Linked DNA regions of Caenorhabditis elegans. The protein of the gene in region 4 purifies or fractionates together with the protein of the main gene of each other region. This does not show direct contact. Each region holds a gene or a part of one and is shown on either strand. Other genes may lie near its edges. The genes, in order: hrpr-1, pcaf-1, rpl-10a and his-67.

Region 1 (9,663 bases), 2.1 Mb from region 4:
ATGTGTGCGTGTGTCTGCTGCTCTCGTCGTTTTCAGCAAAAAAGGCGTGCTCAGCTAGCTAGGCTCAAAATGGGTGGGCTCCGGGAGCCTTCAACCATTTGATGAAATGAGCGAGGAAAAATTGAGACCCCGAGTGTAGATGTGAACGGCGAAGGAGGCAAAATTTAATCGAACACTCTATTTTTTCCTTTTTCTTTTTCGTCTTCCAAGGCGAACGGAGCCATTGAATATTCCAAAATGGCTCTAGGAGCTCATGTGAGCCAGCACAAAGTCGTAAATTAACCTCGAGAAGCTTGAAAATGGACATTTTCCAGAAAACTAGCGGGAAAGCAGAACTGTGATTGCATTTTCCAGAAAAGACAAATCTCGTGAGATTCTTTATTCTTGAAAATTAGAAAATTAAACCGATCTCACAGATTTCTATGCTTCCCTCATAAATTGAAATGGAAGAGTTTTGGCCGAACTAGGCCATGTTGGCTCGGTAGATTTACGGCGCGTTGCGGCTCGATTCTAGTTGTAAAACTAAATGTATTTGTCAGTGAGGAGTACACGACACTTTCCCACGCGTTGTCCGGCAGACAGGATTGTCAATGGAGCGCGAAAAATTCAATGAGGAAGGCCAGAACCCCGGCTGGCTGAAAACTACGGAACAACGAAATTCTCCAAAATATGAGAAAAAGCCAACTCGACGGCCGGAAAACCTCTGTGTAGATTTACGCAGCTTTTGTGTACTCCTCGAGGAAAACTCGCTCGAAAATCCATAAATCTTTTTGCCTGTTGTGCATATTATTTTCACGACTGAAAATCGTAATAAATTAAAATTAAATCGGCCGCTGAGCAGCAGTAAAAAACGTAAAACTCGTTGGGAAAAAAATGCGGAAAAGCCGGGGAAAAATTGGAGAGAAGAACTGATGAAGTGGAACGACGACAGCTATACGAGGAAAAGGCGATAATTGCTTTTTTTGGGGGGTTTTTCGGATGAAATTTGCGATTTTTAGAGCAAAAACCAAGTTTTGCAAGCTTTTCAGGTTAAAAATTGAGTTTTCTTCATTTTCGCAATTGTTTTATTCAAAAATCGCGGAATTTTCGAATTTTTTTTCGCGAAAAAAGCACATTTTCCACGGGAAATGTGCCAAAAAACGCGGCGAAAACGCGAAAATTGACAATTTTTTTGGGGAAAAGGCCATTTTCACATCGAAAACTCTCGAATTTTCAGCCAAAAAAAAAACTCTGCCTAACCTTCCACTCGTTGAAGATCTCCGCCACGATGAGAACGATGACGTCGTCAGCACGCTGTATCTGAAAAATCCGCTGAAAATCGGTGTTAAATTGCCTGAAAATGTGTGCCTGCTCGGCCTACCGCTTTTTCTTCTTTTCATCGCTCATCTGACGAAGGTTCTCCCTGCAAAAAAAGATATATTTAAAAATTAAATTTGAAAATCGTGAAATTTAGGTGTTGCGGGGGCGTGGCGACGTTTGCAAACTTGCGGCGCGGTTTTTTTTTGATTTTTCAGCGATTATTTTAGAAAAAATTCACTTTTTTCTGCATTTTTTTGTAAAAAAATTGAAGATTTTGAGTGAAAAAGGCATTTATTTTTTGGTTGAGGCTCGAAAATTTTACATTAATTTTTTTTTTCTGACAAAAACTGGATAAAAGTATTAATTTTTTGTAAAAATCCAAAAATATTTTATATTTTCCAAATCCTGAAAATCCCAAAAAAAACCACGCCGCAGGCTTGCAAACGACGCTCCGCCCTTTTTTCCCTGCCGCATTGCAAAATTCTCCGAGCTTTTTGTAGAAAACTGCGAAAAAAAAGATCTGAAACAGAGAAATCAAATTTGGGCAAACTTCCGAAAGAAAGAGTAAAAATTTTGAACGAAATTTTTTTTTATTTTATTTTAAAATTGTGTGTGCGTCCAATTTTCACAGCAAAAGGTGAAAATTTCGAGACACAGAAAAAAAAAACGGAATAAAACGGTTTCAAATGGAGAGAGAGGGAGAGGGTGAAGGGAATAGAGAAACAGAGAGAGAGAGAGATACGTTAAAAACCATTTTTTGCAAAGCTCAATATCAAAATCTCTATTACAATTAATGAGAAAATACAACTTTTCAGAATGGTTTTTGTCACTTTTTGAGGTCGTGAGAGATTAACGGGTTGGGTTGAGGAGAGAGAGGGAGTGGAAAAATTTTTTAAAAAATTCGAAAAAGAAATGAGGGTAATATGTATATAAATTATAGAATTTCGATTTTTCGCACCACTTTCTAAAGTCGAACGATTTTTGAGATCAAAACCATTCGAAAAACGAAACAAAAAAATTTAGAAAAATAATGCAAAATGCAAAATTTTTGGTTGAAAAAGTTTAAAATTTTTTAAAAAATGGGGGGAGTGAAAAATAATTTAAAAAACAAAGAAAAAGTGAGTTTCTGCCGGGGGTGCAATTTAGAAAGTGCTCATGTTGACGTCAGCCGAGAAATCAGGCTTTCCGTTGTCTCGTTTCGATGCTGGTCCCCCTCGTCCGTCTCCCGGGCGCTTTCCTCGACCGCGTCTGTTTGCCCTGTAACCTCAGACATTTATTAGGATTATTCTTGCACAATTTTATAAAGATATATGGAGAATTCTGCGCCAGTGGGGGGGGGGGGGGGGGGGGGGGAAATTGATTTGAAAAACACAAAAAATTAATTTTGAACTACCCTTGTTCAATAGAGCGCGCTTGTATTTTTTATTTATTTTAATGCATTTTTAGTTTATTTTTCTCATTTTCTACTGATTTTTTATATTTTCAGTGTATTTTTATTGGAAATTTGAAGAAACGTTTGCAAGATTAATGCAAATTTTTCACAATAAGGCAACTTTATGGTTACGTACCCATACAGATGCTCTCTAGTGAAAAATTTGCATTTTTCTTGAAATTTTCTTCAAATTTCCAGTGAAAATTTACAGAAAAATCATTGGAAAATGTGAGAAACGAATTTTTTAAAAATTACAAAAAATGCAAGCGCGCTCTATCGAACAAGGGCAGTTCAAAATTAATTTTTTTGTAATTTTTTAGACAAATTCCGTCCACTGGCGCAGCAGCACTCCACCACACTTCAAAACTTACATTCCACCGCGTCCAGGTGGTCCACCACGGAATCCTCCTCCACCGCCCATTCCTCCTCTCGGCGATCCACGCATTCCTCCTCTAAATCCACCGCCTCCGTAGGCTCCAAAATCTCCATAGGCTCCCGGGCCACCGTATCCACCACCGTAACCTCCTCCATATGCACCATATCCCATGTCACCACCGTAGCCACCTCCCCAAGGCATTGGCATGTCGTAGCCATTGTTGAAGCTGAAAATGTGTTGATTTTTCATAGTTTTTCACTGAATTAACTCACTGATTTGGATAATAACCTCCTGGTCCAGCATTTCCACCCCACTGACCACCTCCACGTTGTCCACCACGTTGTCCATGATTTCCAGCACCACCACCAGCTCCACCGAATCCACGCCCACGCATCACTGGCTTCTTCTTCTTCTCCTGTGGTGGCTTGGCGAGTGAAGCTTCAACAACAGTTCCCTCGAGCTCTTTTCCATTCCATTCTTCCATTGCTTTCAGGCAATCGTCACGCTCGTTGAAGTGGATGAACGCGTAGTCCTTCACCTTCTTAACTCTATCCAGACTTGCGTATTCCTTGAAGAGCTCGTTCAGCTTCTCCTCGGTCACTGCTTCCTTGATGTTTCGGATGTACAGCACCTTCACCTTCGACATGGTATCCTCGTCTGGCTCTTCTTGATGCTCAGCCCAATCCACGTAGACATCAGCGTTGAATGGACGTATCTGGAAAGAATATTTTTATTTTTGCTATTTTCAGAGAAAAATCGTGTAGATTTACGCAGCTCGTGTAGTTCTCGAGGAGAAAATTGTCTGTTTTGGAACGTTTTTTTTTACCTTTTAAATATAAAAATGTATAGTTTTATAAGTTACAATGCCTCAAAAATCAAGAAGTACATAGATTTTCACTTAAAATACTGTATTCTAGACGAAAATCGATTTCTCTTGACTCGTATGCTCTTTTTGGCTATAATGCTTCTTTTGTGCCATTTTCGCTGCCTTTTTACCTTTAAAATGGCTAATTTTATAGCATTTTAGGTGAAAAATTGATTTTTCTCGATTTTCACATAAAGCACTTTGAATTAGCCGCTTAAAGGGGGAAAATGTCCCAGAAATCAAGTATTTTCACTTTTTAAGTCGCTAATTCCAATTGTTTTACGTGAATATCGAGAAAAATCAATTTTTCACTTAAAATGCTATAAAATTAGCCATTTTAAAGGTAAAAAGCCAGCGAAAATGCAGCGTAAATCCTCCAAATCATCCAAAAATTCACCTTATGCTGTGCAATCTTTCTCTTGATATCAGAAGCCGTCTTGTGATCGATGAAATCAACGAAACAGAATCCACGATTCTTTATTTTCTCATTGTCCGGCACCGAGTAGACGATAACGTCAACTACGCCCTCTGAAATGTTAAATTATTGCTGAAAGTGGCTAGATTGAAAATAATAATAATAATAGTAATATTGATTAATAAAAAAGACCACACGATCACAATAGAAAAAATAAATAGGATACAGAAAGAAGAAAAAAAATCGATTTTTTCTTCGCTTTTTTCACTTTTTTTGAATCTTTATTGCTTGAAAATCGAGAAAATGTTTCGAAAATGGGTTCTGTACCTGCATGAGTCTTGAGCTCTTCAAGAATTTCGTCTTTAGATTTCGTCTTCGGAATATTGCCAATAAAAAGGCGAGTGTTAGCGATCGAAACGTTCACTTTGAGTGGTTTTCCAGTCGAAATTTCGTGGCCGTCATACTAAAGTAAAGAAAATGGATGAAATGCGTTGTGATGTTGGTTTTTAAATGGTTTTTTGGCTCGGAAGGCGGGAATTCTCTCCAATTGTGTCCAAAATGCAATAATGAATAAACACAACGCATTGGGAAGCAATTTTTCAATGGCTAGAGGCATCACCCTACCCTACTGCTCTGAAATTGCATGGGGAAAGCCTAAACTTACAGTCTTGGCGGCAGCCGCAGCGTCTTCCTTATTACAATACGTGACAAAAGCATATCCACGGGAAGCACCGGACATTGGATCCATCATAAGACGGAGATCCCAGATTTTTCCGGATTTCTCGAAGAGGGGAACCAGGGTGTCTTCGAAGACGTCCGTTGGAATGTGTCCGACGTAGATCTGAAAATGGTTGAATAGGTGAGGGTCTCATAAAAAGAGAATTCGCAAAACTGGGATCTGGCAGCGGTAGTTTTCTTTTAAAGCCATTTTTCTCGGATGCGCGTTTTTTTTCGAAATTTTAATCCGAAAAAAGGCACGAAGCCTCATGGGCACGGTCTAGAGAAAGCGAAACGTCGGTTGCAAGTTGCAAGTCTGCGGCGCGGTTTTTCGGTCTTTTTGCTTTTTTTCAGTTTAGCGATAGTAATTTTCCGCTAACTTTTTCAACTTGTAGGTTAAAGCTGAGCTATTTTTGATGAAAAATGGCCAAGTTTTCACAGTTTTTACCGTTAGAGCGTCTGAAGGAACTCTGAAATCTATAGAAACTTGGCATTGTTTTCTGGGCGAAAACGTGGTCATTTTCCTTTAAAAATAGCTGAAAAAGGAAATAATCAAGCAAAATCGATAAACTTTGAACAGAAACGGCAAAAATTGACGGAAAAGCTCTATCGCACACATAAAGAAAGGCAAAACAACGCGCCGCAGAGCATCGTTGTAACGTATTTCTTCGGGAAAATTGGCGTTAAAGCCGCTTCCAGATCTCATTTTCGTGGTGCCTCTCGCTTCTACCTCGTGTCCCTGTCCAGCTGGCCCTGTAGCAGGTCCTTCCCAATCTGGTGGAGGTCCTCCGAACTTTCTCTGTCCAATTGTGACTTCAATGGTGTATCCGGTGGTTTCCAGTAGGTTCTTCAACGCGGCCAACTCTGGTCCATTGATAAGCTTTCCGGATGTTACGGCAGCTGCTCCCTGTTGACGGCACCGATCTTTGAATGAGCGGATCAGTGAGGTGACGTAAAGCGATTTGGTGGCAACTCCGAAGAGTTCAGAGTTCTTGATTTCGGTAAAGATGAATTTTGCCTGATCGAGGTTCACCGAGTTGATGATGTCGACTGCACGATCATCGAGATCCTCTGGGCCGAGAAGTCCGGACTCGTAGATTTCGCACACGACGTCGGCGAGGGCTGGCTTCATTTTAAGCCCGATAAGCTTCTTGTAGTTCTCGGTCTCGGCGTATTTCTGGAAATTCAACGATTATTACTGATTAAGTGCGCCTTTCTAGATAGAACATACGCTTGGCTCCTCGGTCTTTCCATTTTCAGCCGGCTTATCTCCGTTGGTAACAACTTCTGCAACTACTTCTGCGACAGGAGCAGCCTCTTCGGTCTTGGCTTCAGTCGTTGTTTCTGGAGCCTCCTCCTTTACTTCCTGTTTGATTTCCTCACTCATGGCGGGAGATCTGCAAAAATCGATAATCTAAATACGATAAATTGCTCTGAAAATAGCAAAAAACTGTGAAAAATTTGATGTTCCAGCAGATTTTAAAGATTCAAATCAATTTAATTTTCAAGCCTATTTTCACAAATTTACTGGAATTTTGATTGAGAATATGAGTGAAATAAACTCTGAAATTAAGAAAAAGTCTAGATAAAGCAGAAACTGATAGAAAAATTAAGAAAAACCAGTAAAAAATCAGGAAATTGTTCAAATATTACATTGCACATGAAATACATCGAATTTCGGAGTTTTACTCAATTTTTTGAAGGATTTTATGTGAAAATTCCGGATTTTCAAGGTAATTTAACATTCTAAGAGGTTTAAAATCGTGAAAAACGAAGGATAATGCACAAAAAAGATGACGAAGACGTTCAAAATTCGAATCGAACGGCGGCAAAAACAAAAATCGAAGCGGCGAGCGTCTTCGGTACGGGATATCTTTCACACTTTGGGTAATGTCCCTTTAACTTACACCGTCTGCGTCTCTCACCCCATACCACACATCGCAGCACATCTCTCGTCGGGCGGAGCGGCCGCGTCGCGGTTTACTTGTGAACAGATGGTGTTCATTTGCACGAAAAGAGCAGCAGAAGACGTTGAATGGAACGGGAAGGGACGAGGATGTACTCTTTGAATGGAGAAAGGGAGAGATATCATGGGAAATCGAGAGGATCAGAGAGCATAGAGATTGAAAAGGACGTTTTGGATAACCATGAATGGTGTCCAGCTGCACCGGTGGGCTTCATCACTGAATACTAATTTAAAGGGACCTAGAAATAAGTTAGAGAAAGAGGCAAATAAATTCATAAAATTTTAATCTCGGTGGGAACTTTCTAGTACTTCAGTGAAAATCAAAAAGGTAAGACTCTTTCAAAGTCTTTCAAAAAACGTGTAAAATAAAATGACATTGAAAAGCTGACAGTGCCAGCGGTCTCGTGGTGTAGTGGTTATCACATCTGTCTAACACACAGAAGGTCGGTGGTTCGAGCCCGCCCGAGATCAGTCTTATTTTGCAGGTAAAAACTATTTATTTATGATAAAAATGAGGTATATTTAGATGAGAAAGACCATGGATTTGTTCAATTATTTATTTTTATTATTTTGATGATTTATTGAGGAAGAACTGAAGATGTCGGTTGTGGTGGTCTCCAGCTACACCGGCGAGCATCATTGAGCAAGACACAGATTTCTATGAAATAAAGAGCCGAACACAAGAATAGAGCAGCCTAAAAAAGAGCTCCGAGTCTTAGAATTTTATAAGTTACTTACCGTAGCCAGTGCTGGCATCGTAGCCCATTCGGGATTCATTTCAGCCCAATGAGCCGCACAAAACACCCACATCAAGATGGCAGACACAAGGAGGCCCACCGAAACGAGCACATACAGAAGAGCTTCCTGAAAAATAAAGAAAAACTATTTTTTATTTGCATTTAGAATAGGGAAATCGAATTTTACCTTAAAAAATTAAACAATTCGAAAACCCAAGGTTGTGCTCTGAGGAGAAAATGCGGGTTTTCCGACTTTTTTCAGAGAAAAATTCAAATTCTACACATTTTAAATGCATTCTATCACAAAATTGAAGTAATTTACATTTAAATGTAAGTTTATATATAAAAATGCGAATTTTTCGCCAAATTCTCATCAGTGCGCAAGTGCAGGGTAGTGCAATTGTGCTCTGCCAAGAATATTTGATTTTCTCACAGTTTCTAGTGTTTTTTTTTGTAGAAAAAAAGGTTACTGAGGAAGTGTCAGTTCACATCTCGAACTATCTTGGCTTGATCTTTCTGACCGGTTCAACGTTCTTTTTGTTGAACCAGGCTTATTCTTTTTAGGGAATAAACCCACTGCCTGACCCGCCTGGGTTTTGCAGAAGCACCGAGCCCGATTCAATACACCATAAAAAAGGTTTTAGGTCAGGCAGCGACCTTTATTGTAAGAAAGATGAAAAGCAGTCCACATGGGCTGCTATAAATACATAAGAAAGGGGGCGGAGAAACTGTCGGAATGGCAGGGGAAAAAGCATTTAGACAAAGGGTATTGTGAATAAGCAATATCAAATATTGCTGATATGAGTCATGCACTGCAACTTTTTCCTCACAAGGGACGAGGAAAAGTGGTTTCTAGGCCATGGCCGAGGGGCCGACAAGTTTCAGAGGCCATTTATCTTGCTTTGTTTTGCGCCTGTTTTCTTTCGTTTTTCATCGATTTTTTTCGTTTTTTCTTAATAAAACTGATAAATAAATACTTTTTACAGATGCTAAAACAATTTCCAAGTAAAAAAATTGTGTATTCAGTGGGCAAGCAGCGGTGAAAGTGGTCAATGTAAAATGATGGATTACAGGAATACAAAACCTAAACTTTTTCTGAAACATGATACATATGCTGCTTAAATGCTGAAGCTACCTGATTTTCATAACGAGACCGCTGAAAAAGTTTTGTGGTTTTCAAAATTCAACTTTTTTGGTGAAAAAGTCGAGATTTTCGCACAAAAAGTTGAATTTTGAAAACCACAAAACTTTTTCAGCGATCTCGTTATGAAAATCAGGTAGTTTCAGCATCTAAGCATCATATGTATCATCATATGTATTTCAAAAAAAGTTTAGGTTTTGTATTCCCGTAATCCATCATATTGCATTGACCACTTTCACCGCTGCTTGCCCACTGAATACATAATTTTTTTTACTTGGAAATTGTTTTAGCATCTGCAAAAAGTATTTATTTATCAGTTTTAATAAGAAAAAACGGGAAAAAGCTGTGAAAAACGAAAGAAGACAGGCGGAAAACAATACAAGATAAATGGCCGCTGAAACTTGTCGGCCCCTCGGCCATGGCCTAGAAACCACTTTTCCTCGTCCCTCGTGAGGAAAAAGTTGCAGTGCATGTGAGAAACAAAAGATGGAAGAAGAGATAGAAGAGTACGAGTTCTCGTACAACAGTTCAAAATGTTGAATTTTTCAAATTTCGATTGGTTTTTAACCGAGAAATTCAAGAACACAAATTACCCGCCAAAATAACCAGGTTCTCAATAGAGCGCACTTACCAAAATAAACCCACACGTGGCAGTGATATGAGTGTTGAGCATAAATGTGTACTCCAAGAGGACTCCAAAACTGACCAAGATACC
Region 2 (10,670 bases), 6.5 Mb from region 4:
TGCTCGGGGAGCTCTGGATACCACGAGCTCTCCGGGAACGACGTTTTCAGAAGTTTCAGCGCCAGTTCGTTCAGTTTATAGCCATATTTATAGTAGACAGCTTCAGCTCCGTTGAACACGTAACAGTTTTGGAAGAGGCGATTCAGGTCGGCTATGAACAAGTGTTGCTGAAAAAAAAGTTGATTTAGAAAACTTTGAATTTTCTCCCTGACGTGGCATTTTGTGACGTTTAAGCCAAAAATACGGTACCGGGTCTCGACACGACAATTTTTGCTAAATGAAAAACGTTATGCGCCTTTAAAGAGTACTGTAATTTCAAACTTTGCTGAATTTTCGTCGATTTTTCAAAGTTTTTCGATAAAAATGTGGGTTTTTTGTCTTAAAACTATGAAAAATCGACGAAAATTCAGCAAAGTTTGAAATTACAGTACTTTTTAAATGCGCATTGTCGTGCCGAAACCGGGGGTACCGTATTTTTGTCACAAAAACACAAAAAAAAAATTTTCGTTTTTTAAATATAATTTTGGTCGCTGGAAATTGGAATTTTTTATAAATTTTCTAAATTTGCTCTATTATTCTCGCAAAAATAATTTCCTAATTTTTTTACACATTTTCCAGCCAAAATTTCCCGAAAAAAGGCCAAATTTCAAAGCCCTACATGAGTATAAGCCTTCCGTTTCAATTTTTCTTGCATTGTTTTAAAATCGATCGGATGCTTAATATGATCATAATATTCTGGTACTTCTTTCACATCAACTGGACTTGCAAACGGCCATGCATTTTTATCGGCGGTCAGCTTCTTCAGAATTGCTCCAATTTTTGAGTCAAGACTATCGTCTCGTTCGTCCAGATGGTAACACGACTTTTTGTGCATTTTAAGCGAATCCGTGCCCGGCACTTTTCGGAGCTCGAGAAGTTGTGGGGAACCTGCAGAAAATGGAAATTAAATTTATAAATTTATAGGAAAAAACAAAAAAAAAATTTTTAATTTATAATTATTTTCAATTTCGAGGGATTTTTTTAAATTTTTCAACAAAAAAACTCTGAATCAATAAAAAATTTTAAATTTTAAACTAACAAAAAATGTCTGAAATTGGTCTAAAATTTGATAATTTCACTTTTTTTCTGAAAAATTCCTGAAAATTTGGGAAATTATTATTTATTTTTGAAAAATTGGAAAAAAAATTTAAAATTTGAAATTAATTCTTGAAAATTGATTTTTTTTATTATAAAATTTTTGTAAATTTTTTTTTTCAATTTTCATTTAAAAAACCCAATTTTCAAATTCCCGCGCAAATAAAACGGCCAAATTAATTGGATTTTATACTTTCATTAGACATTCGATTTGAAGCATAATTTGCCAAATTTTCAATAATTTTTCCGCAAAAATAGCTAATTTTTGCGGGTAATCAAATAATGAATTAATCTGTTTTTTTTAATTGAAAATTCGAAAAAAATTAACAATTTAGAATAAATTTTTTTTAAAACACACACTTTTTTAGAAGTAAATTTTCAAATATTATTTTTTTTCCAATTTTTCAACAGAAAAAGGGCTAAAAAAAAATTTAGAACAAATCTATAATTTTAAGACGATTTTCCGACTAAAATCGCGCGGTTTTCAGTGTAATTTTCACCAAATAAACCCCATACTTTCTCTGAAAAGATGCTCAAGTCCTCCAAACACTTTTCCACGGCTTTCTGCTCCATTTTCCGACTTGTATCCACAGTGTAGAGCCTGAATTCCTTTCGAGAAATCCGGAAATTTTGTGTACGAGATTCTGGAAATTTTTGGATTAAAATTTAGGAAAAAACCGGTGGAATTCATACTGTGGATGTAGATGACAACCCATTAAAGTTGCACCTTCATATTCTTTAATCCATCCCTGATAGACTGTATCGTTGATTTCCAGCTTTTCAGAGAATCCTTGCTTTCTGGAAAAAAAAAACATTGTAGAGGTTTTGGGGTTTTTTTTTTGAAAATTGGCATTTTTCTAGCCGAAAATTTTGGTTTTTGAAGAAGAAATTAGTTGTAAAAATGTGTAAATTTGTCAAATTTAGTACATTTTTAATTCTGGAACTTGGAAACTTGGGAAAAGTATGAAATTTATCTTTTCAATGTAGAAATGACCTTGATGGGGACTAAAAATTGAAATATTTGGTTCAATTTTAGCAAAAATGGGCAAATTAGGGATTAATTTTCGACGCAAAAATTGTAATTTTACTGTTACATCAACCAAATTCCAAAAAAAAAAATTGAAAATTCGAATTTATATTTTTATTCAGATAAAAAATGTTGTATTAATTTTTAATGAATCATTTTTCTCTGAAAATGATTTTCAAATTCTCAAAAATTCGAAATTATTTCAAAAAAATTGAAAATTCTTAAAAAATTTTTTACAAAAAATTCAAATTTAAGATTTTCGAAAATTTTCATGCAGCAAATTAGTATCAAAAATGCTGTTGATTTTTAGCCCAATATCGCGTAAAATCTTTTGCTTCGGGTTACTGTAGTTCGTGTTTGCGTACTATCCAGACTACATTAACCCCCTTTTTTTTTTCAAATTTTGAGCTAGACGGTACAAAAAAGTCGTCAAAAACGTAATTTAACTGAAAATTTTAGTTTTACGATGTTTTGCTTTTCGAAAAAATTTAATTAAAAAAAAAAAACTTTTTTTTTAAATTTTCGATTTTCCGGGAAAAATTGACATTTTCTATTATACAAAAAAAAATAAAAATCTGGCGCTTCGGGTTACTGTAGCTGGTGCTTGCGTACTATCCAGACTACAGTAACCCTGTTTTTTTTCCAATTTTGAGGTAGAAGCTCCAATAAGTCGTAAAAAAATGCGTTTTTATTCTACGATACTCCGTTTTTTCCGATTTTCCAATATTTCGAAAAAATCAAAATTAAAAAAATATTTTAAATTGTCTAAACATGTTTTTTTCTCGATTTTTTGATTTTCTTTTGTGCAAAAATGAAGAAAATAGATTTTTTCTAGCACAAAATTGAGAAAAATATAGAGTCAATTTTCAAAATTTTTATTTAAAAAAGAATTTTAGTCTTAAAAACTCACGTAAAATAGCCAATTGCAAATTCATCAGCATAGGTTAGCATATGATAAATCTTATTTTTAATCATATAATCTTTACAATGATTCATCAAATGTGTTCCATATCCTTTGACCTGTTCCATTGCAGTAATTGCACAAAATACAATTTCCACAAATCCCCGTGAAGGGAATGTTCGGAAGCAAATTCCACCGATAACTCCCATATCTCGCTTCAAAATCACCATATTTTGATGCCTCGAGTCAAAAATCAACCGTGTCACATATTCTTTGGGCATCTTCGGAAGCTGTGCTCCAAATAGATTTTGAAGCTCAACAAGATGAACAAGTTGCTCGTGATGTTGAAATGGATCAAGATCATTTCCAATTACTCGGAACTCAATGAGCCCACTCTCCTCTTCCTGTAGAGCACTTAGACCTCGTGAAACTTCTGTATTAAGAGCTTCAAATTCGACTTTTGTCTTCGGTTCCATTGCATCCAGGTCGCCTTCGAACTTGATCGCCCGAATCAGAGAACGCAGTAGAGCCATTGATTCTTCAGTTTCTGGGGATTTTTTTGCGGAGCTTGAGGGCTCTTTCTTCCTGCGACGGGGCTCTTCCACAGGTGAAGTGGAGAGCTCACGTGGAGATGAACTTTCAGAATGATCCGTTGGCTTTTTCCGTTTTACATATTTCAAAATGACGTCTTCTGTAGAAATTGAATCTTTTCGTCGATTTGTGGTGGAGGTTGATTGTGGATCTTCAGTCTCTAAATATCGCCTCAAATCCGTTGCAAATGTGATCAAATCTTCGCTATTCTCTTCTAAATCACTTTCCGAAAGGCCGAATGGTGTATAGTTGCCCGTATTCAGCACATTTATTAGATAATTACAGAATGTTGTGGTGAACTTCTCGCCGAATATGTCCACTGTCTGGAAAAAATATACTTTTAAAAAAATTTTAAATAAAGATAAAGGTTTTTTGAAAATTATTTTTTTAATTTTATTTAAAAATATAAAATTTCATTCACTTTAAGATTTTTTTTTGAAATTTTGGAAAAAATATTGCTATTATAAAGACGCAGAAAAATTCGGCGTTTCGAGTTGATGTGCAAACGCGCTCCACGGCAAAATAAAAATGCTCCGCCCCTGAACGTTGGGTCTCGTTAGGTTTTGGCGGGAAAACTGGGAATTCAAAGGTTTTTTAAAATAGTTTTTTGAAATAAAAATCATTTAAAAAAAAACGAAAAACATGAAAAATGCTTGAAAACGTTTTAATTTCCAATGTTCCCGCCAAAACCTAACGAGACCCAACATTTAGAGGCGGAGCATTTGCGGTGGAGCGCGTTTGCATCTCAATTTCAAAAGGCGCATTTTTCTGGGTCTTTTTGGCTTGTTTTCCAACTTTTTTCTGACTGATTTTGGGAAAAAAAATTTAAAAGAATCGAATTTTAGAGAGAAAAAGTGATTTTTTTGGTTTTTTAATAATTTTTTTGCAAAATTTGAAAAATTTTTGCTTCATATTGGAGAAAAACTGTTTTTATCTGTCAGATATATTAAAAAAATTCAAATTTTTAAGAAAAATTTAAAAAATTTGAATTTTTCAACTACAAATAACAGAAAATCGAATTTTCTGGTTTTTTTTATTTTTTATTTATTTTAGTGTCTCATTTTCTTAAAAAATGTCAAGAAAAATCAAATTTTAAGCTAAAAATTTGAATTTTTCGATTTTTATTTAATTTTGGAACACCTTTTTGCTTCATTTTGGGAAAAAAACAGTTTCTAACTGTGAAATATGTAGAAAAACCTTTTTTTTTCCAAAATTCAGTAAAAAAAACTTTTAACTCATTTTTTTAATTTTTTAATAAGATTTTTCATATTTCTACTTTTATTCTTAACAATAATCGAATCTCAAATTGAAAATACCTGAAACTGCTTAAAAGACACGTATTTCGCCGGCATATTCACATAATAATCCATTCTTACATACATCATTCGATATTTTCCCTGTTCGAGAGGCACATTTACTGAAAAATTGCATTTTTAGGCGGTTTTTCTATTGCAAAAAACTGTGTACATTTATCCGCAAGACTCTGAAATCCTTCAAGCTTCCAGTGGTTCATTTCAGTTAGAAAAAGCGTTCCAATTTCGGCTAATCGTTGTTTTTCGCTGAAAATCTCGGGGTTTTTTTTTATTTATATAACTTTTTTTTTATTTAAAAAATTATCCTACGCATTATCAACTGGTCGGGATGCGATAAACTTCTTCACAAGAATATATGGGCTTAGGGATTCCGGTTCAAAATTTGGTTTTCCGATAAAAGGCACATCGACGGGCGTTAGTGTGCGAAGGGATTTCAGGAGAATTTGCATTGTGATGTATAGCGTCTGAAAAATATAATTTGTTTAACTTTTAAAAGTGGACTACGCTCAATGGGGAAATTGTTTTAAAACACGTCTATGGGGCCACATTGACCGAATATTTCATGATAAAAAATTCAAAAAAATTTTCTAGATTTTATATGATTTTTTGAAAATTGGAAAAATCACAGTTTTCACCTAATTATTTTTGAATTTCCGCCAATTGAATTTGTTCGGTGGAGCGTGCTTGCATTATTTTTATTTATTCTCGTTATTCGACTGATTTTCTTCATTTTCTATGTTTTTTCCTCGGAAAATGAAAGAAATAAACAAGTCAAATGCAGAATGTTTGTTAAAAAGTAATTGAAAATGAGTAAAACTGTGAAATATACTAATTTCAGGCTTGTTGCCGTCGGAACTCAGAATATCAGTTTTACGCATTTTCAATTAGTTTTTAACAAAAATGTTGCATTTGTCTTGTTTATTTCTTCCATTTTCCGAGGAAAAAACATAGAAAATGAAGAAAATCAGTCAAATAACGAGAATAAATAAAATTAATAAATAAAAATAATGCAAGCACGCTCCAACGAACAAATTCAATTGGCGGAAATTCAAAAATAATTAGGTGAAAACTGCGATTTTTCCAATTTTCAAAAAATCATATAAAATCTAGAAAAATTTTTTGAATTTTTTTATCATGAAATATTCGGCCAATGTGGCCCCATAGGCGTGTTTTAAAGCAATTTACCCACTGAGCGTAGTCCACCTTTAAATTTAAAATTAAAATTTTTAATTCAAAATAACCTGAAGAGATTCATGAGAAGGATCGATTTCTGAAAGTTCAGAGCAACAGGTTTGAAGGTCGGAAATTTGATCCGTATACGTGTCCAGATCCTCTTGTGACAAATATTTTAGTGGCTCCGCATGAAAAGCTGCAAATTTTTAAGGTTTAAATTGAGTTTTAATGAGATTTTCAGCCAATTTACATATAGAATGACCACACGTTCGGCATTCGATTATCTCCTCGCTTCCCAAAGTTTCCAGATCCCTAGTCATCGGTGCAAAATCATTTTCTCTTTCTGCTCGTGTTGCTCGCCGTTCGACAGTCTGAAAAAGCAGAAAAATTGGTTTTATCGGGGAAAAAATTCAGATTAAACACCAACCTCATCTTCGTGATTCAAAACAGGCCGGAAACCACGGCATTGGCATGTTCCGGCGTTGCAAGACGTGAAATATGTTAATTGTCGTCGTTTTTCATCCAGAGAGTCGCGTTGTTTCATTTTTTTTTATTTCGTTGGTTTTCAGTAGAAATTGAAATTAGAAAAAAATTGGAATAAAAACAGTTTTTTTGAATGCAAAATGTGTGCAAACACCATCACGGTAGAATGCACAGAAACGCATTCGCGCTCTACCGCACAATTTGATGTGGATTTTTGATTTATTTTTTTTTCTTCTTTTTTCAGATTTAAATATTTCTAAGCTGAAAATCTCAAATTTCCTTTGTTTTTTTTTCAATGTTTTATGTTTTCTGTTTGAAAAATTAAAAATCACCCTTATAAAAGTTAATTTAAGGTTCTTTAGCACTATCTTTGCTTTTTTTGGCAGTTTCTTTCAATATTTCGATTTGGCTTTGCTTTTCCTTTTTTCTGAATTCCAGACACTTGCGATAACGTTAGCTTGAAGTCGTTTTAGAAAAATCTTTTTTTTTTAATTTTAAAAAATTGCAACTATTTCCGATTCTTTGTAGAAAACACCTGACGAATTGAGATTGTATCGCCAATTTTTTTTTGTTATTTGCATTCCTCTTCCGATTGCGCTAATCTGACCAGGTTGCTTGCACTTTCTCCGTTAACATCTGTTTTCCAATTTTATTGAATTCTTATAGAATCTGTTTTTCTTCTCTATAAGCAGTCTGTACAGTTTACTTTGGAAAAAAATCGATTTTTGTTTGGATTGTCGTCTAAAACTTGAAATCCTCAATAAAATTTGCGTGAAAATAAGAAATTTTGTTTGAAAATGCCGACTTTGAAGTGCTTTGCACAGTTTTTCAAGCATCATTGAGAAGTTGGAAAAAATTTTTTAATAATAAAAATCGAGGATTTTTCGCCATATTTTTTCTTTCGAAACCCTGCAGGTATGTTGTTCTACCTACAACAAGTCCCCCTTTTTCTTTCCTATCAAAGAAAAAAGCCTAAAAATCAAAATTTTCAAATATAAGTACTGTGAGACCGAGATGTTTGCCTTTTTAGATAAGAATAACGAAACGTCATACATTTAATATTGTGACTCGCAACACAATAACTTTATGGATTTTATGAAAAAAATATATATAGTAAGCCGGAATCCACAGAAAAAATTGCAAAAAAAGTGAAAAGTCCAAAAAAAAGCCTCCAAAATGAGAACGCCCTGAACAATCAGCGCCTTCGAGCTGCTCTGATTGGTCCAAAAGTGGGCGAATTGTAAAATAACTTAGAGTTTGTGGGTATTTTGGTTAAATAGACTAAAACTGGTCCAAAACCACCGAAATCCTTAATGAGACTTCACAAAAAATTTCCAAAAATTTTTTATGGCCGGTCAAAATTTCGAAAAAAAAGAGCCAAATTTTGCTAAAATCTGAAATTTCGCACATTTTTCTTTGTCACAGCCGCTGGATTTTAGTTTTTCTGAAATTATCATCCTTTAATCCTTCTTTTGGTAATTTATCTCGCGGAAATTCGTTGATTGAGACAACTTTTAGGCCGATAGGCATCCAATTTTTATCATTTTTGGATGCCTATAGGTCTAAAAATTGTCTCAATCAACCAATTTCCGCGAGATAATCTACCAAAATAAGGATTAAAGGATGATAATTTCAGAAAAAACTAAAGTCCAGCGGCTGTGACAAAGAAAAGCCAGCGAAATTTCAGATTTTAGCAAAATTTGACTCTTTTTTTTTTCGAAATTTTGACCCGCCATAAAAGTTGTTTGAAAATTTTTTGTGAAGTCTCATTATGAAATTCGGTAATTTTAGACCAGTTTTAGTCTATTTAAACAAAATACTCACAAACTCTACTCCCCCTTTAGAAGTTGGATTTTTCATTCTTTTCGTTTTTCTTTTAAAGTTTTGCTAAATTTGAGACTATTTCAGATTTTTTGAATCTTTTTAAAAATATTCCGGCTACTTCACCTTTGAATAACGAGATAACTAGAAGCCAAAATCACATTATTCTATTATTTCACTCAGAACGTTCACTTCTTTATGCGCACAGAAAATTCACGGCAAAGTATGTCGCCGTCGTCCGTCCGTCCGCTTCGTCACCATCCTTCTCTCTCCTCCGGCGGTCTCCATCATCCGGCTCGTCCCTTCTGTGTCTCTGTGGTCTCTTCACTCTCTCTGTCCCCAACGCCACGTTTCTTCTCTCGCGTCTCTCCACACTTCTCGCCTCTCCTGGTATTTTCAATCGAAACGCTCTTCTCCCGATACTAGCTTTCGCCCGTGCGTCGCTGTCGATTCATTACATTTATTCCAATGATTTGATGTTTTTTGAATCTACAAGAAATTAAATTTTCGAGCTTTTCCGAGTAATCTCTCGAGTTCCAATCAATTATCACCCCTGCTCTTCCTTCTTCCATTTTCCATGATAAAGCTTCACAGCAACGCCCTCTGATAAGCATCTATAAACTGTACAAACCTTTTTTTAAGTACCCAGTTCTCCAGTATTAATATAATTTTGGCTGTTTTTTTTTGTGGAAATGTTGGTGGCAGTTAAAGCTTTGGAGAGCAGCCCCAGAAAAAAGCTGACCAAACAATGGCTCTTTCCCTGCTCACATGGAAAAGCTTGCTCGCTTGTGATGTAATATTTCGTTTTTAGGCGATAACAACTGTTTTATAATTTCCCTTCCGAAATTGTTGTATTAGTTGGAGTTTGCCGACCAGTAATTCTGTAAAATACACCTTTCCTTAGATTTTTTCTTAAAATTTATTGTCTGAAAATTGTTTTTATTTGGCTTGAAACATTAGGAAAAACGTTCGAAAAATGCCTGAAAGTTGGAGACTGCTAGAAACAAATTTCGGCAATTTTCAACTTTCAGACAATTTTTGAAAGTTTTTCCAAATTTTTCGCGTAAAATGAACGCATTTCATCGGATATTTTCCTTTAAGTTTTGTGATACAATGTAGAAAAACATTTTATTTATCTGGAAATAGCCTTTCATAAAAAAATTTCACAATTTCCCAAAAAATTTTCCAAATTTTCCAAATGTTTCGAGCAAAATAAAAGGCTATTTCCAGACAAATAAAATGTTTTTCTACATTTTATCACTAAATTTAAAGGGAAATATCCGATAAAATGCGTTCATTTTACTTGAAACCTTTGGAAAAACTTTCTGAAAGTTGAAAATTGCCTATTTTTCCGGCATTTTTCAACGTTCATGCAATTTTTGAGCTTTTTTTCAATTGTTCCAACTGATATGAAAACTATTTCCAGATGAAGCAAATTTTTATATTTCGATATTAGACTCATACAATTAAAAAAAAAATTTATTTTCTGTAAAACCTCCATAATTTTGAATATTAGTGCTGAAAATTTACTAAATCGGCAATAAATCGGTTAAAAAATATTTCTGAAACACTGAAATTTTTATTTAAATAACGATTAAAGCTCTTCGCGGCTGCCTTTCCGGAGACTAAAAAAATTGAATTTCGATTAAATCCAGTTTAAACTTCTAAAAATCGAATATCAAGCTAGATACTCATAATTTATTCCCAAAAAACACCCATTTACACCTCTTCCTCTTCCACTCCATCCGGTTTTGCGCATCATCTTCATTTGTCTCAAAAGTTTATCACTGCCAACGATCTTTTCATCTGCTGGAGGCTCCACTTTCAGACTGGTTCTTCTAGATTTAATCTACAACACAGCTTATGCTTCTCTCACTAGCCGATTTTGAATGTTTTTGGCAATTGCTAATAGGGAGAAGCAAAATGCATGGAATCTTGATTTGGAAACGAATTTTGAAATTCAACATTTAATTTACCCGAAATTTGCAACTTTTTAACGTGAAACCGAATTTTTTGAGCGAAATTTTTGTCAAATTGAAGAAATTATTGCCATTTCAGAAGTTGAGGAACGACTCGCCCAGTTAGTTGCCGACGTGTTTTTTGGATAGAATTTAATACTGTAATAATCGGATATGTCGGACGGTCAGCTGGTCCAGAGACGCAGAAAGGCTGAAGAGGTAGGATGATTTTACAGAGTTCAATGGAAAAACACGAGAGATAAAAAAAA
Region 3 (6,149 bases), 7.1 Mb from region 4:
TGAAGCTGGTCCCAAATGCCAGGACACCAAAAAGTCAAAACTAAAAAATGTTATTAAGTTTGAAAAAATACCGATTTTTCAACTAATTTCCGCGATTTTTTCACCAAAAAAACTCCGCCCATAGAATCGTACAGCACACTTCGGTTTTTTTTTTGACGGAAATTCTCATTTTTTGTGTTGTTTTTCTAATTTTTAATAAAGAAATAGGTCATAAATGTTCAAAAATCGTACCGAGTATGACGGATTTTATTTCAAACTTTTGAACATTTAGTGCCTTTTTCTTTATTAAAAATTAGAGAAAAAACACAAAAAAAAAAGAATTTGCGTCGAAATTAAGCGGGTGTAATTCAAATTTTAGTTGAAAAATCGCCAAAATCATGGGTTTTTTTTCGGTGGTATTTCGGAATTTGGGGCATTTTTCTCCAACTTTCTCCAAAAAATTACCTCATTCGGTTTCAGGAAAACAACTTCGAACTCATTTTCGGCAACAAATTTTTCAAGTCCATCAAAATCCGGACATAGTTCCAGTGATTCCACGATGATTACCTAAAAAATTTTGATTTTAAAATGGATATTCTCTTTTTTTTACAAATTTTAATAGATTTTTTTAAGAGAAAATTCAAAATTTCCTATTTTTCATCAATTTTAAATTATTTTCATGAGAAAAAACCAAAGTTTCTTCTAAAAAATGAGAAAAATGGCCAATACTTTAAGTTGTTTTTTGGAAAATCGATTTTTTGAGTTTTTTTTCGAATTAGAGAATTTTCGATTTTTTTTTTGAAAATCGAAAAGCCGGCAATTTAATTTTTTCATCAAATTTTCGTTTGAAAAAAAGAAAAATTGGCAATTTTTAAAGCTGTTTTCGGTTAATTTTTGATTTTTTCAAAACTAAAACCTTTGTATCGGCTTTAACTTGATTAGAGACAGTTTTAGCTTCTTCCAGCTGATCCATCGACTTTAATGCGAAGAAAATGCACATTATTGGAGCATTGTTGGCCTCGTAATCTGCTGACAATTCAGAAAGAGTTTCATATGTTTTAATGCCATATTTTGCAGAATAATAACTGAAAATCCATAATTAAATCCTATTTGACCCCGAATCTCTTACTATGTTTCAATGAAATAACAATCAGCTTCTTCTTTGACAGCTTTTGAACGTTCTTCTAAACTTTTTCTGATCTGTAATTGATATTCATGAGTTATTAATAAACTCGTATTCTCCTTTTTACCATTCCATCAGTATCACCAACGATCGCCAAGAACTGTTTCGGGGGACCCTTGCACTTCACCATGAAGTGTTCATTTTTCTCCGACATCTGAAAGTGACGAAAGACCAGTTCTTGTTCTAACGAAAGATTGAAGCAACTTCCGATAGACGATTGTTAGACAATGTAACTTTTGAATAATGCACGACTAGATAGAATCAAATCAACAATGTTTATTGAATAACAAAGTAATTAATAAACTCTTTGTGGCTTTCCCATGGTGGACTTGATGTTCAACGATCTCACGTTCTGCCAGTTCTTCTTCAAGAGCGAGACGAGGAAGTTGATGGAGAGGGAGATGTTGGAGACAAGCTCCTCCTGGGTGAGTCCAACGTGACCGACGGCGACGGAGAGGCAGAGAACCTGAAATGATACAATTATTAACAGGGCAATAAGAATGATAATGTTTACCTTCTTCATCTGGAACTTGACGGTGGCGCGGATCTCGTCACTCTTGCTTTGGAGAGATTCTCCGTGGGTAACGACGGAAGGGAATTTTCCGGCCTTGTTGAGTCCTGGACCGAGGATACGTGGGATCTGCTTGATCAAGGATTCGGAAGCGATGAAAGCATCGTAGCTCTTGGCGAGCTTCTTGATGAGCTTCTTCTGCTTGTTAAGCTTCTTCAAGTCATCGGCGCTCATCGATGGAATGTCTCCGGCGGCAGCCTCGTCAAGATGGTGCTGGTCTCCGAAGACGCACACCTTCATGTTTGGGCGTGGAATGTGCTTCAGTCTGGAAAATAGAACAATAGAAATAAATCCAAATGACACGATTGGTTACATTATACCAGCTCATATCATTATTTCAAAGCGGCAATAATTGCCTCCCCAAAAATTTAAGACCCTGGGTGGGGGTCCGTTAGGCTTTGAAAGTCCCAACTCCCTGTTTTCACAGGTCGTAGCTACCTGATGGATCCGCTGAAACGCTTGTCCTTCTGTGGGTCGTAGTTCTTGAGACCGATCTGGAGCTCGATAGTCTCACGGAACTTGCGTGGCTTTTCCGAGGATCCCTTAAGGACCTCAGCGATAGCCTCATTAAGAGACTCGCGGGAAACCTTCGACATTTTACCCTGAAATAGAAATAAATTAAGAATTCTATATAGAGGGCAGCAAGTGGATAACGTTCAATAACGAAAAAATAGGCTTTTAAAACCTTGAAAGAAAGTAAAAATCACTCAAAAGGAGAAAATATATCCAAAAATCTACAGAAAAACCACAGAACGAAGAGAAAAGAACTGTGGAGATAAAATTTTAGGCCAAGCAGTGCACACGCAGCAACGAGTGTTACCGTACTTGCTTTCGCGGCGGGTACACACCACTGCAAAACTACATGCGTCTTCCTCGTGGCACGTCTTCCTTCCCTTTTAGGCCTTTTCCTTCGAGATTCTCATTTCTTTTTCCACTTGTTATCATTCTCATGATCCTGTCAATCAGTACTCGTATAAATTGATAAAATATCCATTTGCCCTGTTCCCAGTACGCTCCCCATTATGTAGGTTATCGCTCTCCGAAACGCGCGTCTCAGTGCCACCCTGGCCGCTACGCGACCGCAACGCGTGCCAACCAGCCGAGGAGATTGGTGTTTTACGTCGCTTACCCAAAGTTTTACCGAACCTTCTCATAATCTGTTTCTTATGTATCTTTCTTGACATTTCGATGTGTCCTTTCTCGTTTCTTTACTTCAAATTTCCAGAAAAATGGCACCAAAGGAAAGCGAGAAGAAAATCATGCAGGAGAAAATCGCCAAAGTTCGTGAAGTCGTTGATAGTGTAACCAATAATGACATCATTATGGTTCTTCACTCATTCGATCTTGACGTTGGCAAGACAATTTCTGCTTTCTTGGAAGGTAAATCATTTTAATTTGATTTTTTTTTAGAATTTATTTTTAATTTTCAGATGGAGCCTCTAGCATTCTTGGAGGATGGACCACATCAGATGGAGTCAGTGTAACCGCAGCTAAAAAGAAGAAGAACAAGAGCAAGAAGACTGAAACAGCTGCCCCGGAAACGACGCAAAGTGCTCCAGCGCCTGCTAAAGCGGCTCCAGCTCCAACTGTAGCCGCCCCAGCCTCTTCTTCGGTAACTAAATCAGCTGCTGCACCTAAACCAGTTGGTACGTATCTTTTTCTTCTTTCTTTTCGTCTGTAATAATAATTCCTTTCAGTCAGTGCACCAGCTCCAGCTGATCCGTTGTCGACAGCTTTCAAGGCTATCCGACTCGCATTGAACGACCGCGAGAAGGAGTTGAAGCAGTCAAACGCTTCACAATTTGATACCTCTACAATTCTCAAAGCAATTGCTGCTCTTGGAGGATCTTCAAAGCCGGTTGCCAACGGAAAGCCAGCAGCAGCTCCAACGAAGCAGGCGGTTTCTCCACCTCCAGCCGCTGGGCCAATCAAGCACGCTACTAGTCAGTCAAGCATCACTTCATCCGTCGGAGCAGATTCAGGTGTTAACCTCAGCCCAACACACAAAGGTATGCGTAAAATGTCTCTAGAATAGAATTTTAATTAAAAATTCTTTTATTTTCAGAAGATAAGAAAGCCGCATCAAAGACAGTCACCAACACGGCTGGCTTCCAACTCACTTCATCGGGACTCAGCGCCGATCAGTTGGCTGATCTTCAGAAGACACTCATGCTCACAATGGCATCTCGTGGCGTCGACGCTTCCCTGATCACCTCTTCGGAAAACGTTGCACGCAGACCGAAAAATAACAACAACAACAATAAGTCAGGCGAGGGCAAGAAAGGCAACAAGGGAGCCCAGAAGGATCAGCCAAAGCTGTCCATTTTGTAAACCCCTTCTTCATTCCTTCAAAAATCCCCCCTTCCACCTCATACCATTTCTTGATCGAGCAGCTCACTGTGGTTCCTTGGTTCGAAGATGGTACTCCGGCAAAGTGCATCTTTATTTTTACTGTGATTTGATTTGATAATTATAGTATTGAAAGTGAATGACCCTATTCATTATGCTTGTAATTATAATCCATTATAACTTATTCCGTTTCTTTCCTTTCCCCCCTTGGTTTCGCTTAATTTTCCTGTTCTTCCCTTCATCCCCAACATTTTTCATTTTTTTATCCTGCACCCCCCTTAAATTTATACATACACACACATATATATATATCACACAAGAGGCCTTATTTGTTTTATGCGGGAGACATCAGAACTTTTTGTTTTTATTTCCTTTCTACGTCTTTTCTCTTTTCTTCTTCTTTAGTAATAAAACCACTATGGGAGTGTAAAGGTGTTTTTTTTCTTCATAAATTAAATAGTTTCTTTTAAAAATTTATTTTTTTTTGTTAGCACCCCAGATAGGAGGCTCTTAATTTTTCAGATGGGAAACCAACGACATCATTATAACGATTACGAAGATGTGAGAATGCTCAAATGGGTTGCCAGGCAATATAGAATGCTTAAATGATATTTCAAGAATCACCTCTTTCAGAAATGACAAGAGCCTTGGACCGTTTGGAATAATCACGTGGCAACTGTACGTTGAAGCCTACAATTGTCCGTATTCAGTGCAATCACTGTGTGGACGGTGCGAATTTTTAGAAAAAATCGATTAAAAATATGGAATTAATTACAGAATGCGACGTCAAATTGTCCCGAATATCGATTATTACTCTCGACATTTGAAATCTTCGGATTTAATTTCACTTGAGAGACGTTTTGGGTCAAGACTCGGTGCTGAGACTCGAAAATAGTAATTATTAATTTCAGAAAACATGAAATAATTAAAAAAAATGTTTTTAGCATTCGAAATTTGGCAGTAAAAACCGTGAAAATCGTGCAAGTAGTTGCAAGCCGCCCGGTGGAGAAAAATTCTGAAATTGAGGTGCAAAAGGTCGCAAGCTTGGAGCTTCAAGCGGCTCCGACGGCTCCGACGACCAGCGCAGCACAATTGGGCAAAACAAAAAGTCCTGGAGCAAGAACTCAACGGATCGAAAGAAATGATGAGTTATCCCGTGATGTGTTCGAAAGTTCTTGTGCTTCGACAATTGTGGAGCCAGAGCCTCCACAAGAAGAGCCTCCACAGAGGTGAATACTCCACAGATGTCACAAAAAATCGAATTTTTTGCCAAAAAAACTAGTTTTTGCTCCGAAAAACCAACAAACATCGATTTTTTTTTAAATTAAAAAAAAACTTTTTTTTCTCTCATTTTTTCTGCAGCAGGAAATAAATAAATTGAGGAAATATTTTCAGATCACACAATTGGAAGACGGAAATGCGAAAAATAGCCGGCCAAGCAGCTCAAGCAATTAACGATTTGATCCGACAGACTGTTGAAAATAATGATTTCAATAAGGTACAGCAAAGATAAGATGCATGTACCTTTAAATGTGAAGTACGGTCGTATACGGTGCCCGGTCTCGACACGACAATTTTTTTTTCAATCAATTTTTACGGTTGTGCGCCTTTAAAGAATACTGTAATTTCGAACTATTGTAGCTGTGGAATTTTCCACCAATTTTTCAGTTTTTCTCAAAGTCGTGTGTTTTTTTAATCGAAAAGCTATGAAAACTCCTCAGAAAAGAGTAGTTTGAAAATACAGTACTCTTTAAAGGCGCAAACCCTTTTGTGTTCGACAAAAATTTTCGTGTCGAGACCGGCTACCGTATTTTTGGTGCGAAATTTCGCGTCTGGATAATAAGAGAAACACTAATTTTCTTTGATTTTGTGAAAATTAGAAAAGAAAAACATTTTTTTCCGGTTTTTGGCTTTAAGCAAACACTTAAAACGGAACTTCTCGTTTTTTTTTTGGAAAAAAAAATTAAAAATCGGAGAGGAACTTCAAACCAATCAGCGCCTGGCTCCGCCCACCTTCGCTGATTGGTTTGGAATTTTTGGCCCTAAAAATGACACAATTTCGTATAA
Region 4 (5,419 bases):
GTATTGTTATCCCCCATCTCCATATAATACAGTAGTGAAATGCATTGTTGCGGATACAAAATAAAGAGTATCTTGTGGTATGTGTTGAATGAAAAAGTCATTATTTGAAAACTCCCTTTCTTCTGAGCTTCTGCACAAAATTGGAAATTGGTCGATAAATCTTTAGAGGAGTGAGACGCCTAAAAAAGTGAATTTGGTTCACGAGTTATGGGTTTTTTGTTGGTGGTTAATGGACATTTTTCACGCAACATTTTGTTGTTTTCTTCAAGAAAAATAGAAAAAACAAAAAAAAATACGAGCTAGTAAACTGGAATGTCGTATGGACCATTTCAGAAGATCAAAAATCACGTTGCAACTGTGCTTAATCAATTTAACGGTTATGAATAATAATTATTCAAAGTTCTCGTATTTTATGTACAATGATCTCTTTTGTTTTCACAATGTCCTAACTTTTTTGATTGTTGATTTTTATGACTTTATCAATTGAACGGGTTTTAATAATATTATTTGAATTTACTAAAAATTAATCTTTGGCATTTGACAGTTGGATAGCAACGTTCTGATATTTAGCACTTATTTAGCCCAAACATACAGTAAGCGGTCTCGACACCACAATTATTGCTAAGCCGAAAAAAACGAAAAAAAAGTGTGCGCCTTTAAAGAATACTGTAGCTTCCAACCCTTTGTTGTTGTGGAATTTTCATAGAATAGTTTTTATTTTCAAATAGTTTTTTTTTCAAAAATTTTAAGTGTTTTATTTTAGTTTCCTTTTCCTCCCTTTCCACGGCCATGCAACTTAATTTTCAGACCCAATGACCTCTTCGGACAGGACAAATCCCGAAAAAGCAGTTCAAAGCCCCCACAAAAGTTGAAAAAGCTGATGTGAAGGATGAAGGAACCACCTTTAAATTGGCACTAATTTCTGAAAACGTTTCTTCAACTTTTTTACTTGAATCCTAGAACTATCTCCTTATCACATATTTTTTTGTCGGGCATGGAGTTATTATGCTAGTTATTTCCTAGGGATAAGATAATTATATGGAAATTTTACAAAGAATTAAAAAAAAACACCCTAAAAATTCAAGAAAAAATTGTGTCAGAAAATAAGAAAAAAGTGATGGGACGTATGCAATAAACGATGGGAAACTGGTGGCAATGGGAAACGGAATATTTTCACAAAAAAAGACAATCAAACACGGTCTCCTGGAGTGTTCATAATTATTAGAGCGCGGTAATTTTTCTAGGTGCCAGAAGCTTCGAGTTCAATCAAAAAAAACTAAATTTCACGCATATAAATTACCGCATTTTTTATTGGGAGATTTATTTAGTTTTCATAACTTTAAAAAGTAATATCTGATTTGAAATGAACTCTTTTGAAAATTCAAATTGAATTCTATACTGTGCGTCTAGACTTTGTGTTTTATCGTGATTTTTCGTTTTTGTGGAAAATCGAGTTTGGAGAAACATCTGTAAAATTCGTTTAGAAGAGTGAAAAGATAAAAAATTGAAGCATTGAAAATAAACATTTATTGCAATCGGACTGTTTGGATTTATCATTTGTGGCCCTAAAGAGGGCCGTTGGGTTCGGTGGTTGTTGCATGGAAGCGGGAGGACAATTGAAATTATCCTCCGAATCCGTACAGGGTTCTTCCTTGTCTCTTCAGAGCATAGACAACGTCCATGGCTGTGACGGTCTTCCTCTTGGCGTGCTCGCAGTAAGTGACGGCGTCTCGGATAACGTTCTCAAGGAACACCTTGAGAACTCCACGAGTTTCTTCGTAGATCAATCCAGAGATACGTTTGACTCCTCCTCTTCTTGCTAGACGGCGAATGGCTGGCTTCGTGATTCCTTGGATGTTGTCCCGAAGGACTTTACGATGGCGCTTGGCACCTCCTTTTCCAAGGCCTTTTCCTCCCTTTCCACGTCCGGACATTGTTGAGTGATTGGCTGAAGACTCACGAATGATGATGAACTGGGAAAACAGTTCTTCTTATATACTCCCTATGCAGATACAGCGGTGCAAAGGCGGAGTCAGTTTGCGCCATCCTGCAGGGACACATTTCCGTGCCTGCCGCTCTTGCATCTGCAGAGATATCTGCCGTTTTGGCCTCTAGTAGGCGAGACATACAGGAAGGTGAGAGAGACGCAGAAACGAGATAAATGTGTCCCCGCAGGAATTTACCGAATGTTCAAAAAGAGGTGTCCCCGCAGGAAACTCCGCCCCGCCACCGTAAAAATAAATATAAAGCGACTGTCTTGGTTCATTCTTCAGATTAGTTTTACGATCACCAATCGCTCATAATGTCTGGGCGTGGAAAGGGAGGAAAAGCCAAGACCGGAGGAAAGGCCAAGTCACGCTCGTCAAGAGCTGGACTTCAATTCCCAGTCGGCCGTCTTCACCGTATTCTTCGCAAAGGAAACTATGCTCAACGTGTTGGAGCCGGAGCCCCAGTCTACCTGGCCGCTGTTCTCGAATACCTCGCTGCTGAAGTTCTCGAGTTGGCCGGTAATGCTGCCCGTGACAACAAGAAGACCCGTATCGCCCCAAGACATCTTCAACTTGCTGTCCGTAACGACGAAGAGCTCAACAAGCTTTTGGCCGGAGTGACAATCGCACAAGGAGGAGTTCTTCCAAATATCCAAGCCGTTCTTCTCCCAAAGAAGACCGGAGGAGATAAGGAATAAATATCTTCCGAATCCAAAAACCCACCGAACCCAACGGCCCTCTTTAGAGCCACAATTTTCTGAAAATCCTCTTTGTTCAAATCAATAAACTATTTGTGCTATATTTTTCATTTCTTATTCGAAATATAATCTGGAGAATTCACCAGTTAAAACTTCATTGAAATCTTCTCACTTTCAGGAATTTTTTTGGAATAGTTGCCCGTTTTACCTGATACCGTGCATTTTACATTGCCGATGGTCTCTTTGCGTTTTCCAGTTTGAGTTTTTTTAAATTAACAAATTTCAGGTATGGAAGACCAATGGTTGCTGTCGGCAATTTATGATGATGATTTGGTCGAAAAGTTAAAAGTGAGGAGTTCCACTTCATCAAGAAGTACTTCGATCAACGTGCCCAGTTTGGAAAATGAGGTTTTTAAAAAGAAAATTCGGATTTAGCTGATTACATAAAATTGTTTTCAGTTTCTCAGCAGTTCTTCTGGATCCAGAGTTTCCGATGATCTCTACCTGCATCCTATTGAAGAAAACAGGTGAATGCCTGAGAAATTACAATTAAAACATTTAAAAATTTCAGAGAGCCATTCAAATTGATAGGAAAGCCACTTCCCAGCACTACAGGACGATTCTTATCACTTCTCGCCAATCATTTTCAAATCACGTGCAATGGATCGATTATTCATCAATACTATATTCGATTCGATCCAGATATTCCGTCGAAAAAGCTGAACAGAACGATTTTGAGAACTCTGCAAGAACAGAATCCCGGACTTATCGAGTGCCCGTTAGTTTTCGATGGAATTCACACTGTGTACTCAACAGAGCTGATTAATGTCAAGGAAGTGAATAATTCAGTCATCAATGTTGCAGGAGTTGTTAATACAAAAGAATCACCTAATCTATTCAAACTCTATCTAACACATGTCGACAGCTTCCTCTTGGATACTAAAATGTGAGTTTTTACTTGGAAAACCTTCTTCATTGTTTTTAATTCAATCTTTTTCAGTATCACAGGAAATCAGGATCAGAACCAGAAGTTGCGAATGATGCATGCAATTGATACTGTCTTCCGTCAAACTTCTACTGGAAATTTCCATGCCGTGCTTCAATCTTTCTTCTCAATTGCACAAAATTCTGCAATCGAACCCTCGCATGGCCTTGGATGGGGAACTGTCAATTTAGGAGTTGGACGAGAAGTTTGCTACGGTTTTTATCAAAATGTTGTTGAGACATTCGATACACTCACTATGAATCTCGACGTTGCAACAACTACATTCTACCGCCCCGTGGCTCTCGTGGAATTCCTTGCTGAAATTCTGGAAGTTCCACTGGCAACAGTCACCGACGGACGTTCGCTGAGCGATGTTCAAAAGAAAAAGTTCAACCGTGAAGTGGCCGGACTCAAAGTTGAAACCAGACACTGTAGTTGTCCACGAAGATTTCGTGTCGCCCGTTGCACTTGGAAACCAACTGAAAATATTAGTTTCCATCTCTCCGAGACTGCCGGCAATCAAGATTCTAAACCTCTCTCATTGGTTGAATACTATAAAAGGCGTTATAATATCGATCTGACATATAAGCATCTTCCGTGTATTGAAGTTGGACGCACTCGAGAATGTATTCTTCCTTTGGAGCTTTGTTACGTAGTCAGTGGCCAACGATGTATCAAGAAACTGAATGAACAACAGATTGCAAATCTGATCAGAGCAACGAGCCGAAATGCAACTGAACGACAAAATGCAGTCATGAGCCTTCAGAATCGGCTGAAAATGGATAATGATGTCAATGCGGTTAAATTTGGATTAAAAGTTGAAGCTCAATTGTTGAAGATTGAAGGACGTGTCTTGCCGGTTCCGCGTCTTCTCTATCGTTCCCCAAATTTGAAGAGACAAGAGTGTGTAACAGTTCCGAATAATGGAACATGGGATATGAGAGGAAAGAATTTTTACAGCGGAATCCAGATTCGAGTAGGTTTTCTTTGTAGAACACTCATAAATTATTTAAATAACAAACTATCAGCGAATTATGTTTCAGGAATGGGCAATTGTTTGTTTCGCAAGCCCAGAGATTATCGGAGAAGCCAGCATGCGTTCATTTGTCAGAAATCTCGTCAATGTTGCCTCTGAAATTGGAATGCCTTTTCTCGAAGAACACCGATTCTGCAGGTCCGGAGAATGTTTTACTCGATTTTATTGGAATCAGGGATGTGCGGCACATTGTTTTTAAAATTTTTTTAAAAAATAACATGTAAAAATCCCCCTTTTCTCATCGCTGTGTTTTTTTCCCTAAATCTTTATAGAAATATGAGAAATAGAAATAGGATTTTGTTAATGTGCATATATCGGCATAACCGATAGAAACTGCTTAATAAACCTATAATTGTACCTTATTCAGATACGCAGAACCAGACCAGACTGTGAAGCTTCTCGAACATTTGAATGAACAATACAATCTTCAACTCGTTTTATGCATTGTCCCCGGAAAATCTGTAGTTTATGGAGAATTGAAACGAAAAGGAGAGCTACTTGGTTTGACAACTCAATGTGTTCGATCTCAAAATGTTTCGAAAGCGTCACCACACACTCTTTCTAATCTCTGTATGAAAATCAACTCGAAACTCGGAGGCATTAATGTAATCCTATCCTCTCCTCCACAATCTCTAAATTCTGAACCAGTACTTTTTATCGGATGTCATTTAACTCGAAGTTCACTCGCCTCATCTTCTGATTCCACATCTTC

The links.
Region 1: the proteins of his-67 (region 4) and hrpr-1 fractionate together in Caenorhabditis elegans (co-fractionation; one large-scale study listed by BioGRID). This does not show direct contact.
Region 2: the proteins of his-67 (region 4) and pcaf-1 fractionate together in Caenorhabditis elegans (co-fractionation; one large-scale study listed by BioGRID). This does not show direct contact.
Region 3: the proteins of his-67 (region 4) and rpl-10a fractionate together in Caenorhabditis elegans (co-fractionation; one large-scale study listed by BioGRID). This does not show direct contact.

Annotation. Positions count from the first base shown.
Region 1 is NC_003279.8:12,058,397-12,068,059, forward strand, and holds hrpr-1 (RRM domain-containing protein), read right to left. Parts: upstream 6,502-9,663; 5' UTR 6,492-6,501; coding exon 6,336-6,491; intron 6,282-6,335; coding exon 5,835-6,281; intron 5,229-5,834; coding exon 5,052-5,228; intron 4,851-5,051; coding exon 4,715-4,850; intron 4,501-4,714; coding exon 4,370-4,500; intron 3,823-4,369; coding exon 3,380-3,822; intron 3,334-3,379; coding exon 3,103-3,333; intron 2,708-3,102; exon of another isoform or gene 2,614-2,707; intron 2,557-2,613; coding exon 2,442-2,556; 3' UTR 1,875-2,441; downstream 1-1,874. Other genes in the region: ksr-2 (Kinase suppressor of Ras B), read right to left, coding at 1,240-1,311, 1,361-1,386; F58D5.2 (MARVEL domain-containing protein), read right to left, coding at 7,649-7,765, 7,809-7,934, 9,580-9,663.
Region 2 is NC_003279.8:3,512,565-3,523,234, reverse strand, and holds the start of pcaf-1 (histone acetyltransferase), read right to left. Parts: upstream 6,786-10,670; 5' UTR 6,684-6,785; coding exon 6,567-6,683; intron 6,511-6,566; coding exon 6,390-6,510; intron 6,336-6,389; coding exon 6,208-6,335; intron 5,431-6,207; coding exon 5,276-5,430; intron 5,213-5,275; coding exon 5,121-5,212; intron 5,071-5,120; coding exon 4,970-5,070; intron 3,977-4,969; coding exon 3,072-3,976; intron 1,933-3,071; coding exon 1,828-1,932; intron 1,779-1,827; coding exon 1,651-1,778; intron 928-1,650; coding exon 659-927; intron 168-658; coding exon 1-167. Other genes in the region: Y47G6A.18 (Golgi phosphoprotein 3 homolog sauron), read left to right, coding at 10,576-10,620.
Region 3 is NC_003279.8:2,873,974-2,880,122, forward strand, and holds rpl-10a (Large ribosomal subunit protein uL1), read right to left. Parts: upstream 2,336-6,149; 5' UTR 2,330-2,335; coding exon 2,172-2,329; intron 2,067-2,171; exon of another isoform or gene 2,047-2,066; intron 1,999-2,046; coding exon 1,677-1,998; intron 1,629-1,676; coding exon 1,458-1,628; 3' UTR 1,425-1,457; downstream 1-1,424. Other genes in the region: Y71F9AL.12 (UAE_UbL domain-containing protein), read right to left, coding at 445-546, 896-1,064, 1,109-1,179, 1,230-1,316; Y71F9AL.9 (CUE domain-containing protein), read left to right, coding at 2,963-3,113, 3,164-3,379, 3,431-3,742, 3,799-4,064; Y71F9AL.8 (Myb_DNA-bind_3 domain-containing protein), read left to right, coding at 4,605-4,669, 4,716-4,811, 4,860-4,976, 5,027-5,311, 5,478-5,580.
Region 4 is NC_003279.8:9,986,830-9,992,248, forward strand, and holds his-67 (Histone H4), read right to left. Parts: upstream 1,935-5,419; coding exon 1,623-1,934; downstream 1-1,622. Other genes in the region: his-68 (Histone H2A), read left to right, coding at 2,303-2,686; alg-5 (Protein argonaute-2), read left to right, coding at 2,975-3,094, 3,146-3,213, 3,258-3,632, 3,687-4,647, 4,715-4,845, 5,075-5,419. UniProt on the Caenorhabditis elegans protein: Core component of nucleosome. Nucleosomes wrap and compact DNA into chromatin, limiting DNA accessibility to the cellular machineries which require DNA as a template.